Linked DNA regions of Mus musculus: region 2 is reported to be linked to region 1. The links are microRNA targets in miRTarBase. Many come from high-throughput screens and were not tested one by one. Region 1 holds a microRNA gene; the other region holds the end of a gene's coding sequence.
The links. The annotated mature microRNA mmu-miR-669f-5p reads AGUUGUGUGUGCAUGUGCAUGUGU and lies in region 1 at 2,752-2,775, opposite strand. An mRNA with a match to its seed (bases 2 to 7 or 8) in the 3' UTR can be bound and repressed. Matches are read on the target gene's strand: a 7mer-m8 pairs with bases 2 to 8, a 7mer-A1 pairs with bases 2 to 7 and ends in A, and an 8mer does both.

Region 2: miRTarBase lists Lrtm1 as a target of mmu-miR-669f-5p. Seed matches in the 3' UTR shown: 7mer-A1 at 5,186-5,192.

What each region holds. Positions count from the first base shown.
Region 1 is chr2:10,465,023-10,470,022 of GRCm38, reverse strand. Mir669f (microRNA 669f) reads right to left here and starts at 2,794; the gene lies at 2,674-2,794. The region is part of intron 10 of Sfmbt2 (Scm-like with four mbt domains 2); the gene reads right to left. It overlaps Mir466m (microRNA 466m), which reads right to left and starts at 3,360; the gene lies at 3,277-3,360. Mir466f-1 (microRNA 466f-1) reads right to left here and starts at 3,079; the gene lies at 2,986-3,079. It also overlaps Mir669e, Mir669b, Mir669d, Mir466f-2 and Mir669l.
Region 2 is chr14:29,027,279-29,032,834 of GRCm38, forward strand. It overlaps Lrtm1 (leucine-rich repeats and transmembrane domains 1), which reads left to right. Exons shown (of 3, transcript NM_176920.4): 3 at 46-5,556. The coding sequence ends at 476. All of the region lies in intron 27 of Cacna2d3 (calcium channel, voltage-dependent, alpha2/delta subunit 3), which reads right to left. Among named protein-coding and RNA genes, the nearest start is that of Lrtm1, 12 kb to the left of the region's middle.

The sequences.
Region 1 (5,000 bases):
GTGCCATTCATATGTGGGTGTCACATGTATGTGTATGTATGAGTTTATGTATATGTATATTAATATACACACATACATCACGGGATCATCACAAAAATCTCAGGCTCCTCTCTAACTCATCGTGAAGTTAAGGATAAAATTGAACTCTTTTATTATTAGGTATTTTCTTCATTTACATTTCCAGTGTTATCCCAAAAGTCCCCCATACCCTTCCCCCCCCAACTCCCCTACCCACCCACTCCCACTTCTTGGACCTGGCGTTCCCCTGTACTGAGGCATATAAAGTTTGCACGACCAATGGGCCTCTCTTTCCACTGATGGCCGACTAGGCCATCTTCTGATACATATGCAGCTAGAGATACAAGCTCCGGGGCGTACTGGTTAGTTCATATTGTTGTTCCACCTATAGGGTTGCAGATCCCCTCAGCTCCTTGGGTACTTTCTCTAGCTCCTCCAATGTGGGCTCTGTGATCCATCCAATAGCTGACTGTGAGCATCCACTTCTGCGTTTGCCAGGCCCTGGGCCTACTGACTCTGGTAAACATTATCACCTGCTGACTGAGACCCCTCTCAGGCCAAGTACTGCATAACCTCCAAAACTTGAGGTGACATATCATTCAAATGAATCACTGAGTGCCATTCATGTCTGTGTGTCTTTGTGTGCCTGTATATGATTGTATGTATGGATATGTATATTCATATACAAACAGGCAAATGCACACAAAACTATACACCCATGCACATACACGGGGTACATCCCAGGAATACCAGGCTGATCTCTAACTCATTATGAAGTTAAGCATGAATTTGAACTCCAGATCTTTCTGACTATACCAATCGTTTATATCTGGTGAGTAAAAAGTTTCATTGGCCCAGTACTACATAATTTCTAAAGCTCTAAATCACATATCAATAAAATAAATCGATGAATACCATTCCTGCGTGTGTGTTGATGTGTTCATATGAATGCGTGTATATATGGGTGTGTATGTATATGTATATTCATATACACACATATACATGCACACACAACTATACGCACATGCACAAACATGGGGGGCAAAACATGATTCACAGTTTGATCTCTAAATCCTCATGAATGTAAGCATGAATTTGAACTCCTGATTCTCCTGATTCTGGCAAGCATTTTCAACTAGAAAGTGAGAGCACTCACTGGCCCAGTACTACATAATCTCTATAGTTCTACGTCACATATCATTCAAATGGATAAATGAGTGCCATTCGTGTGTGTGTGTGTGTGTGTGTTACATGAGTGTGTATGTGTGTGTGTATGTATACATATATTCATATACACACATGCACATGCACACACACGTAAACACACATTCACATACATGGGTGGCATCACATGAATGCCAGGATGATCTCTAACTGAAGTTAATCATGAATTTGAACTCCTGATCCTCCTGACTCTGTCAACCATTTTCACCTGGTGAGTGAGACCGTTCATTGACACACTACTGCATAATCTATAAGACTCTAAGTCACATATCATTCAAATGGATCGATGAGTGCCATTCCTGTGTATATGTATTTGTGTGTGTGCATGCATGCGTGTGTATATGGGTGTGTATGTATATGTATATTCATATACACACATATACATGCACACACAAGTATACACACATATAGAGCAAGCAACACACAAATCCCGGGCTGATCTCTAACTCATCATGAAATTAAGCATAAATTTTTACTGCTGTTCTTCCTTACTCTGCAAGCATTTTCACCTGGTGAGAGAGAGAGAGCTCTTTTGGGCAAAGGAATACTCAATCTCTAACCTCTAGGTTGCATATCATTCACATGGATTGGTAAGTGGCAATTGTGGGTGTGTTTGTGTGTGTGTGCATGTTTGTGTGGGTATGTATGTATATGTATATTCATATATACATACATTTTCATGCACACATAAATATACACACATGCACATACATAGGGGTCATCACATTAACACAAGGCTGATCTCTAACTCATCATGAAGTTATTATGAATTTGAACTCCTGATTCTCCTGACTGTGAGAAATGTTTTTGCCTGGTGAGTGAGATGTCTCACTGGCCCAGTAAATTTACATATTATACAAATGGATCGATGAAAGCCATTTCTGTGTCTGTATCTGCGCATGCGTGTATATGTTTGTGTGTATGTATATGTACATTAATAGACACACATGCACATGCACACAAAACTATATACACATGCACATACATTCATGGGGGACATCCCATGAATTCTAGGCTGATGTCTAACTCATCATGAAATTAAGCATGAATTTCATCTCCTAATCCTCCTGAGTATGGCAAACATTGTTACCTGGTGAGTGAGATCTCTCCCTGGCACTGTCCTGCCTAAACTCTCAAGCTCTAAGACACATATCATTCAAATGGATGTGTGTGTGTGTGCATGAGTGTGTAAGTGTGTGTATATTCATATTCATATACACAAATGAACATGCACACACAAGACACACACCTGCCCATATATAGGGTACAGCCCATGAATCCCAGGCTGATCTTTAACTCATTATGAAGTTAAGCATGATTTTGAACTCTGGATACTGATGCTCTGGCAAGCCTTCCCTGGTGAATGAAAAGTTTCAGTGGCCCAATACTACATAATCTCTAAAGCTCTAAGTCACATATCATTCAAATGGATCAACGAGTGCCATTCCTCTGTGTGTGTTTGTGCTTGCGTTTATACGTGTGTGTGTATGTATATGTATATTCATATACACACATGCACATGCACACACAACTATACACACAGGCACATACATGGGGGGCATCACATGAATCACAGACTAATCTCTAAATTCTCAGGAAGTTGAGCATGAATTTGAATTCCTGATTCTCCTGATTCTGGCAAGCATTTTCACCTTCTGAGTGAGACCATTCACTGGCCCAGTACTGTATAATCTCTAAAACTATAAGTCACATATCATTAAAAGTGATCAGTGAGTGTCATTCATATGTGTGTGTTGCATGTGTGTGTATGTGTGTGTGTATGTGTATGTATATTCATATACACACATGCACATGCACACACACGTAAACACACATGCACATACATATGAATACCAGGATGATCTCTAACTGAAGGTAAGCATGAATTTGAACTTCTGATCCTCCTGACTCTGTCAATCGTTTACACCTGGTGAGTGAGAACATTCACTGTCCCCTATTGCATAATCTCTAAAACTCTAAGTCACATACCATTCAAATGGATTGATAAGTGCCATTCCTGTATGTGTGTGTTTGTGTGTGTGTACGTGCGTGTGTATGTGTGTATGTATATGTATATTCATATACACACATGCACATGCACACACAAGAACACACACAGGCACATACATAGGGGCCATCACATAAATCCCAGGATGATTTCTAAATCTTCATGAAGTTAATTATGAATTTGAACTCTTTATTCTCCTGACTCTGGCAAGCGTTTTTACTTAGTGAGTGAGATGTCTCACTGGCCCAGTATTACATAGTATTGAAAGATCTAATTTACATATCATACAAATGGATTGATAAGTGCCATTCATGTGTGTTTTTCCACGCGTGCATGTCTATGTTAGTGTGTATGTATATTTATATTTATATTATACACACATGCACATGAACACACACGTATATACATAAGCTGCATCACATGATACAGGCTGATCCCTAACTCTTGATGAAGTTAAGCATGAATTTCAACTCCTGATCCTCCTGACTCTGGCAAGGATTTTAGCCTGGTATTTGAAGCCTCACCCTCACTCAATACTACATAATCTCCAAAGCTCTACGTCACATATCATTCAAATGGATTGACAAGTGACATTCCTGCATGTATGTGTGTGCGTCTGTATGTGTATGTGTACATATATTGATATGCACACATGTACATGCACACACAAGTATAAACACATGCACATACATGGGGGGCATGACATGAATCCCAGGCTGATCTCTAACTCATCATGAATTTAACCATGAATTTGAACTCTGAAACATACTGACTGTGGCAAAAGTATTCAGCTAACGAGTGAAACAACACACTGGCCCAGTACTGCATAAGCTCTAAAGCTCTGAGTCACATATTATTCAAAAGGATATATGATGCCATTACTCTAAGTGGTGTGTGTGGGTGGGTGGGTGTGGGTGTGTACATGTGTGTACATGTGTGTATATGCATATTCATATAGAGAAATGAATATGCACACAACTATACACACATGCACATTTTTGGTGGGCATCACATGAATCGCATGCTGATCTCTAACTCATCATGAAGTTAAACATGAATTTGAACTCCAGGACCTCCTGACTCTGGCAAGGGATTTCACCTCCTAACTGAGACATAGCTCTGACCTGGTACTGCATAAGCTCTAAAGCTCTGAGTCACATATCATTCAAAAGGATATATGAGTGCCATTCGTGTGTGCATGCGTGCATATGCATATTCACATAGAGAAGTGAATATGCACACAACTATGCACACATGCACTTTCTTGGTGGGCATCACATGAATCTCATGCTGATCTCTAACTCTTCATGAAGTTAAGCATGAATTTGAACTCTGTAGCCTCCTGACACTGGCAAGAATATTCACCTCCTACCTGAGACATAGCTCTGGCCATTCCTGTGAGTGTGTGTGCATGCGTGTATATGCATATTCATATAGAAAAATGAATATGCACACAACTATACACACATGCATATCCTTGGTGGCCCAGTACTGCAGCATCTCTAAAACTCTAAGTCACTTATCATTCAAATGGATCAATGAGTAACATTCATGTGTGTGTGTGTGTGTGTGTTGTGTGTGTGCATATGTGTGTATACATATATTCATATACACACATACACACACACATAAACACACATGCACATACATAGAGCGCATCACATGAATCCAGGCTGATCTCTAACTCTTCATGAAGTTAAGCATGGATTTGATCCTCATAACTCTGGCAAACATTTCCATGGGGTGACTG
Region 2 (5,556 bases), not on the chromosome of region 1:
GCTGTATCAAAGCTCCATCATCATTCTTTGCTTTGTTTCTTGAAGGGGGAGAAACAGATGGTGCCATCTGCAGGCTGCCTGAACCCTGGCAGGGAAAGGCTCTCCTCTCCATTCCTCACGAACTGTACCAACCCTGTTCTCTACCTTCTCAGGATTTGGCACCCTCACTAGTCCAGCAGCCTGGTTCTGCCCCGCAAGATGCCCAGAAGTCTCATGAGAATAGCTCAGGACAGCAAGATCCCTTGGAGTGTGAGGCCAAACCCAAACCAAAGCCAACCAACCTGCGCCATGCTGTGGCTACTGTGGTCATCACTGGGGTAGTATGTGGGATCGTATGTCTCATGATGTTGGCGGCTGCTATCTATGGATGTACCTATGCAGCCATCACAGCCCAGTACCAAGGGAGACCCTTGGCATCAGCCAGGAAGTCTGAGAAGATGGGAAGTAAGGAACTTATGGACAGTTCATCAGCCTGAGAGCCTTCATTTCCAAGGTCCCCTCGATCACTGAGGGCCCGGAAGAAATATCTGAGTGAGCTTGATGTGTTCGATGCTCCTGTCCCATGTTTTATCTTCCAAAACAACTAAGGAAAAAATGTATCCAAAAAATAAAACAAAGTACTCAGTAGGAAGAAGTTTAAATACCATAGATATAATAGACACACTCATATCTTGCAACTGAGAAGATATGACAAGAAGTCTATGTGTAGGAACAAAAAGAAGAGCGACGCCATCTCTTTTAGGTACCTGTTTCTGGATTAAGCTGGATTCTGCAGAGCAATAAGAATTCGGACATGTGTGCCAATAGGCATTTTTAAGAGCTCTGGGGCCACCAGTTGGAGTGCCTGGGAATTGGCTAGTGCTCTTACCCGACCCGTACTGGCTGCCTCTTAATTCCAGTTCATGCTAGATTGGTAGGATGTTGAGATGTTGCGTATGTTACACATTTAGTGGAAATGTCTGTTGGTTGGGAATTTCATAGCTGGCCACAAGACTCAGATTATATTTAATTTTCTAAATCAGAAAACCATTTGGGGCTCTCTAAGCTGCAGGGGAAGATGAAGGTTCCATGTCTGGATAATGGGACTCAGGCCCGGAGCCTGGGCAAGGTTTTGATGTGAAGGAACACAGAGAGAATAGTAAACTAGAATACAGGGCAGATATCATCAAGAGACCATATCCACCAAGCAATGGGAACCTTATCCTAGAACTCTCCCAGCAGGGATGGCTTTTGCTTAGGCTGAATGGTGGCTGTGTCTCTGCATCCACATCTACATCTGCAGTGCACAGAGGGCATGGATTTGTACAGCTACACCCACACATAAACACCCTTGGAGCAATCAGCTTACCCACTAATGAAATGCAGCCGTGTCGGGTGGGAGCCAGTAGCTGTTGATCACCACCCAGATTGTATGCTCAACACTCTGGGATAGGAAATAAGAAGGAAGTTTGAGGGGGAGTGGGAGTTACTGGGGGGTGGGCGCGGGACTCGAGGCACTGGAGGGCAGACATCCTGGCTAGTGCTTCAGCATGGCTTTAAAAAGTTCAGGTATGGCTTGCAGAGTCCACAGACTTAGTCTGAGAGAGTTGCATGCAAAGTGAATTTTTATAAATTGAATCATCATTTGAATGCAGCAGGGGAGCTCGCTATTTAAAGGAACCTTTCATGGAATCTTTTCTGTAATGGAAATAATTGGCTCCAGATTGATGCATTTTTTTTCCAAATTTGCATTTCTATGCTAGGGTTTCTTAAAGTGGAATATACCTATACCTACTCTTTCTGTTTACACTACAGGCACATTTTAGGATTATAACTCTTTTGCACAGGAAGAGAGCACAGAGGAGTTAAAGACATGTTAAAGGCAGAAAATGACAAATATGGGGCAAGCTGTTCCTCTAGAGCCCATGACAGACATTGCTAATCAATCCCAGCTCTTTTCCCAGCTGAGCCTCAAATATACCACAGATGGTTTCTTAAGACAGCACTATAGGCAACCAGAACTAATCAATTGGAGTTGGTTCAAAGGATAAAGCACATTTGCCATTCAGGGTACTGGCTCGACTTCACCCCTCAAGGCCATGTAAAAATTGGTTTGGATCCCCAGTCAGTTGTCTACTCCTCAACCGGAATATAAATGGGATGTGCACATGTTGGGATGGACAGCTGTTGAGTGTGCTATAAGCAATGGAAACCTTGTATATACCAGTGGGCTAAGGGCAGACTGTCATTTTGGAGTATCAATTCAGCTACATAATTTTTTTTAATAGCAGAAGAAGTTTAAATGTGAATGGTCACAATGAACCCCATTAGTGCATGTAATTAATATGCATTAAAAATTATAACGTGTAAGGGAACAGCACACCAAGATTTCCCAGCAAAGGCCCACAGCTGCATGGGCTGTCATTTGCCCTGACATCTCTCTTTTGTGCCAAGGTAGCTCAATTCAACTGTGTGACTGAGTTTCTATTCTAAGGATGTAGCAACTACTTTCAAACTAAAAAAAAAAAAAGCATTTCTTTCCATTGTCCTAACTGCACCTTTTTTTTTTTCCTTTTGGCCAAAAACATAATGCGAGAGGAAATTGAGAAAGTTCCTTTACTCTTCCTCTTGATTTGGCCAAATGTTCTTCAAGCTCACGCTGTTAGCAGGCATGGCTCACTGTTCTCATGAGCATTCCTCATAGAATTCTGACACTCGCCCCGTGGAGTCTTGGGCAGCTAGCACATGCCCTAAGAACTCCCAAGGCCAGCAGTACATACCTCCTCTAACAAGTGATTTAGGACTGCAAGTGTACTCTGCCCTGTCAGTGGTTTGGCGATGCTGCAGATCAGCCTTGCCCTCTCCTCTCAGAGATTACATAAAAGAGTTTCTAGTACACTGCGCAAACCATGAACGTGGCGCAAACCCTCGCCTGTCAACACCCTGATCCTATTAGATGTCGATGTACAGATGATAACCCACGCAAAAGGCCTCTGGCTTAATAGGTAGTCTTTAAGCACGAGGAGTTAAGTGATGCATCTGTAGACTCAGATTTCTATCATTTGCCTACAGTCACCACACACAGCAGTTGGCAGTGAAAATAATTACTTACTCTGAAATGTCAACAGCTCCTCAGAACAGAAAAATATAAATCAAGTTGTTTAGATGAACAAATGTGGAGTTATCATTTGCTAATATGAGAAATGAAATGTTTTAATTGCAAAATGCACAGCAGATGAAAGACCCAGTTTTCAGGGTATTCTGCAAGAACCACAAATTATCTTTCATGAGCACTGCAGCTCACGAGGGGCAATTTACAAACGCCTCACAGATTATTTTCAGCTGCTTATTACTGCCATCCTATTCATAGAGTCCCCTGTAAGAACGTCCTTCCGCCAGAGCGCCAGACTGGAGGAGGCGCTCAGGGCAAAAGGCACGTGTAGTGTTGCTTCAGAGAAAGTCATCTGAAATGGCATGCTTCCATTAAAAGTAGCGTAACCGTGTGGTGACAGGCAGGTGATTTCTGCTCCTGCAGAGACCTGAGTTCACAGCCACTGCAGCTCTCTGTAGTGAAGCTCAAAGGAGAAGGGCATGTCAGCCATGTGATGCTGAGAGTGAGGCAGTATGTGAGAAGAAAGACCTGCTGTCAAATCAAAAAAGCTTGCACAGGTAAGGTGGGGACCTCAAAGCCCTTGGAAAGACACTTGTGCTTAAGACGATAAAATGCCAGTGGATAAAGGAGTTATCTTGTTTTGCCTTATGAGAACAGAGACCTGAAAAGAGATCCACACCTGAGCATCCTGCAGAAGGCTCCTGGAAGTCAAACCCCATTGCTGAAGTTCACTGAGAACTACTGAAGACAGACCCCCTCTGCCTCATACTCTGAATATTGAAAGTGGCTAAATTGGTTTCTAAAATATTCTATCTGTGCTCCATATTCATAGTCATACACTAGTCATTCAAGACCTGTAACTTCCCGTGCAGATCAGGAAGTCACTACTTCCAATGTCCATTTAGATTCCCTACATGCTACTGTCAGAAACCTACAAGACCAGACACCTCAACCTACCAGGCATCCCTGAACAAGATATTCTTCAAAACTTCAGGGGACCATCCCATCTCCCCCCTAGTGGATTGATTATTTATTTATTTATTTATTTAAATGCTTAAATTACAATGAGGTCTCAAAGAAACCTTTGTCTCATTCAGAGGAGGCCTTATAACTTTCTGACAGGCTTTCAGATTCTTGACAGGGCTATTCACCTCTATTCCCATTCCAAAGACACTGTCTGTTCAGAATCCTCGAAAAGAATAGGCTGTCACCTATAGCCTCACACATCCATTAAGCAGACCCAGAAAACAAATCGAGGGAGCTAGGGAAGGCCCTGAAGACCGTTCTGTTGAGGCCTGGAAAATGTCAGCACAGTTGCCGTTGGTCTCCTTGTCCATCATGGGCATTGCTAACAGATCACAGCATACTTATCAACTGATTCCAGGCCAGGCCTCAGAAGCCTTTCAAATCTGTTTTCCAGGTGCCCATAAGAGATCAACTAGAGTTGACATAAGGGATTAAAGTTATTTGCTACGTCGATATAGTTCAGTGTCTTTATTTTACAGCTAGGAGCTAGAAGCATGGAAAAGGGAAGAAACTTGCCAAAAGTCACACACAGTTCATTGTGTGACTGATAAATCCAGTTGCAGAAGCATGCAGTTAGCATGCATAACACAAACTAATCCCCTATTACCCTTTGTCCATTGTATAGTTAGCTGCTCTATCTAGACTATGACATCATTGTACTAATCACTTAGATAAAGACAATTACAGCACTGCCAACAATCTTCACTGGGTGTGGTGCTGGCTAGTTTTATGCCAGCTTGACACAAGCTAGAGTCATTTGGAAAGAGGAAACCTCAAATGAGAAAATGCCCCAATTAGGATCGGCCTGTGGGCATTTTTCTTAATTCATGACTAATGTGGAATGACCCAGCTCATGGTGGGTGGCATCACCCTTGGGAAGGTGGCCTTGAGTTCTATAAGAGAATGCCACTGTGAGAGAAGCCAGTGGTTTCTGCCTCAGTTCCTGCCTTTAAGTTCCTGTCCTGACTTATTCATTTATTTATTTATTTTATGACAGACTATGATGTGGATATGTAAGCTGAGATTAACACTTTCCACCCCAAGTTGCTTTTGGTCATGGTGTTTTATCACAACACTAGAAACCTAGCCAAGACAAACACCCAGCTTGGCGCCAGGCATCTTCTAAGCACATTAATTAATTTTCTATCTACCTTCTAATGAAAACCATAGGTGTCTACTGTCCCATTGCACATGAGCCTAGAAAGCAAAAGTCCTAAGTTATCACACCAGTAAATGATCCAGTAGAAATTCACATAAAAGTTGTGATGGCTGATTTTATGTCAACAGAACAGAAGCTAGGACTATTTGAAATGAGGGAAGCTCAACTGAGAAAAATCCTCCATCAGATCCAGCTGTAGGGCATTTTTCTAATTAGTGATTGATGAGGGTGGGCCCAGACCACTGTAGGTGGTGCCCTCTCTTGACTGATGGTCCTGGAT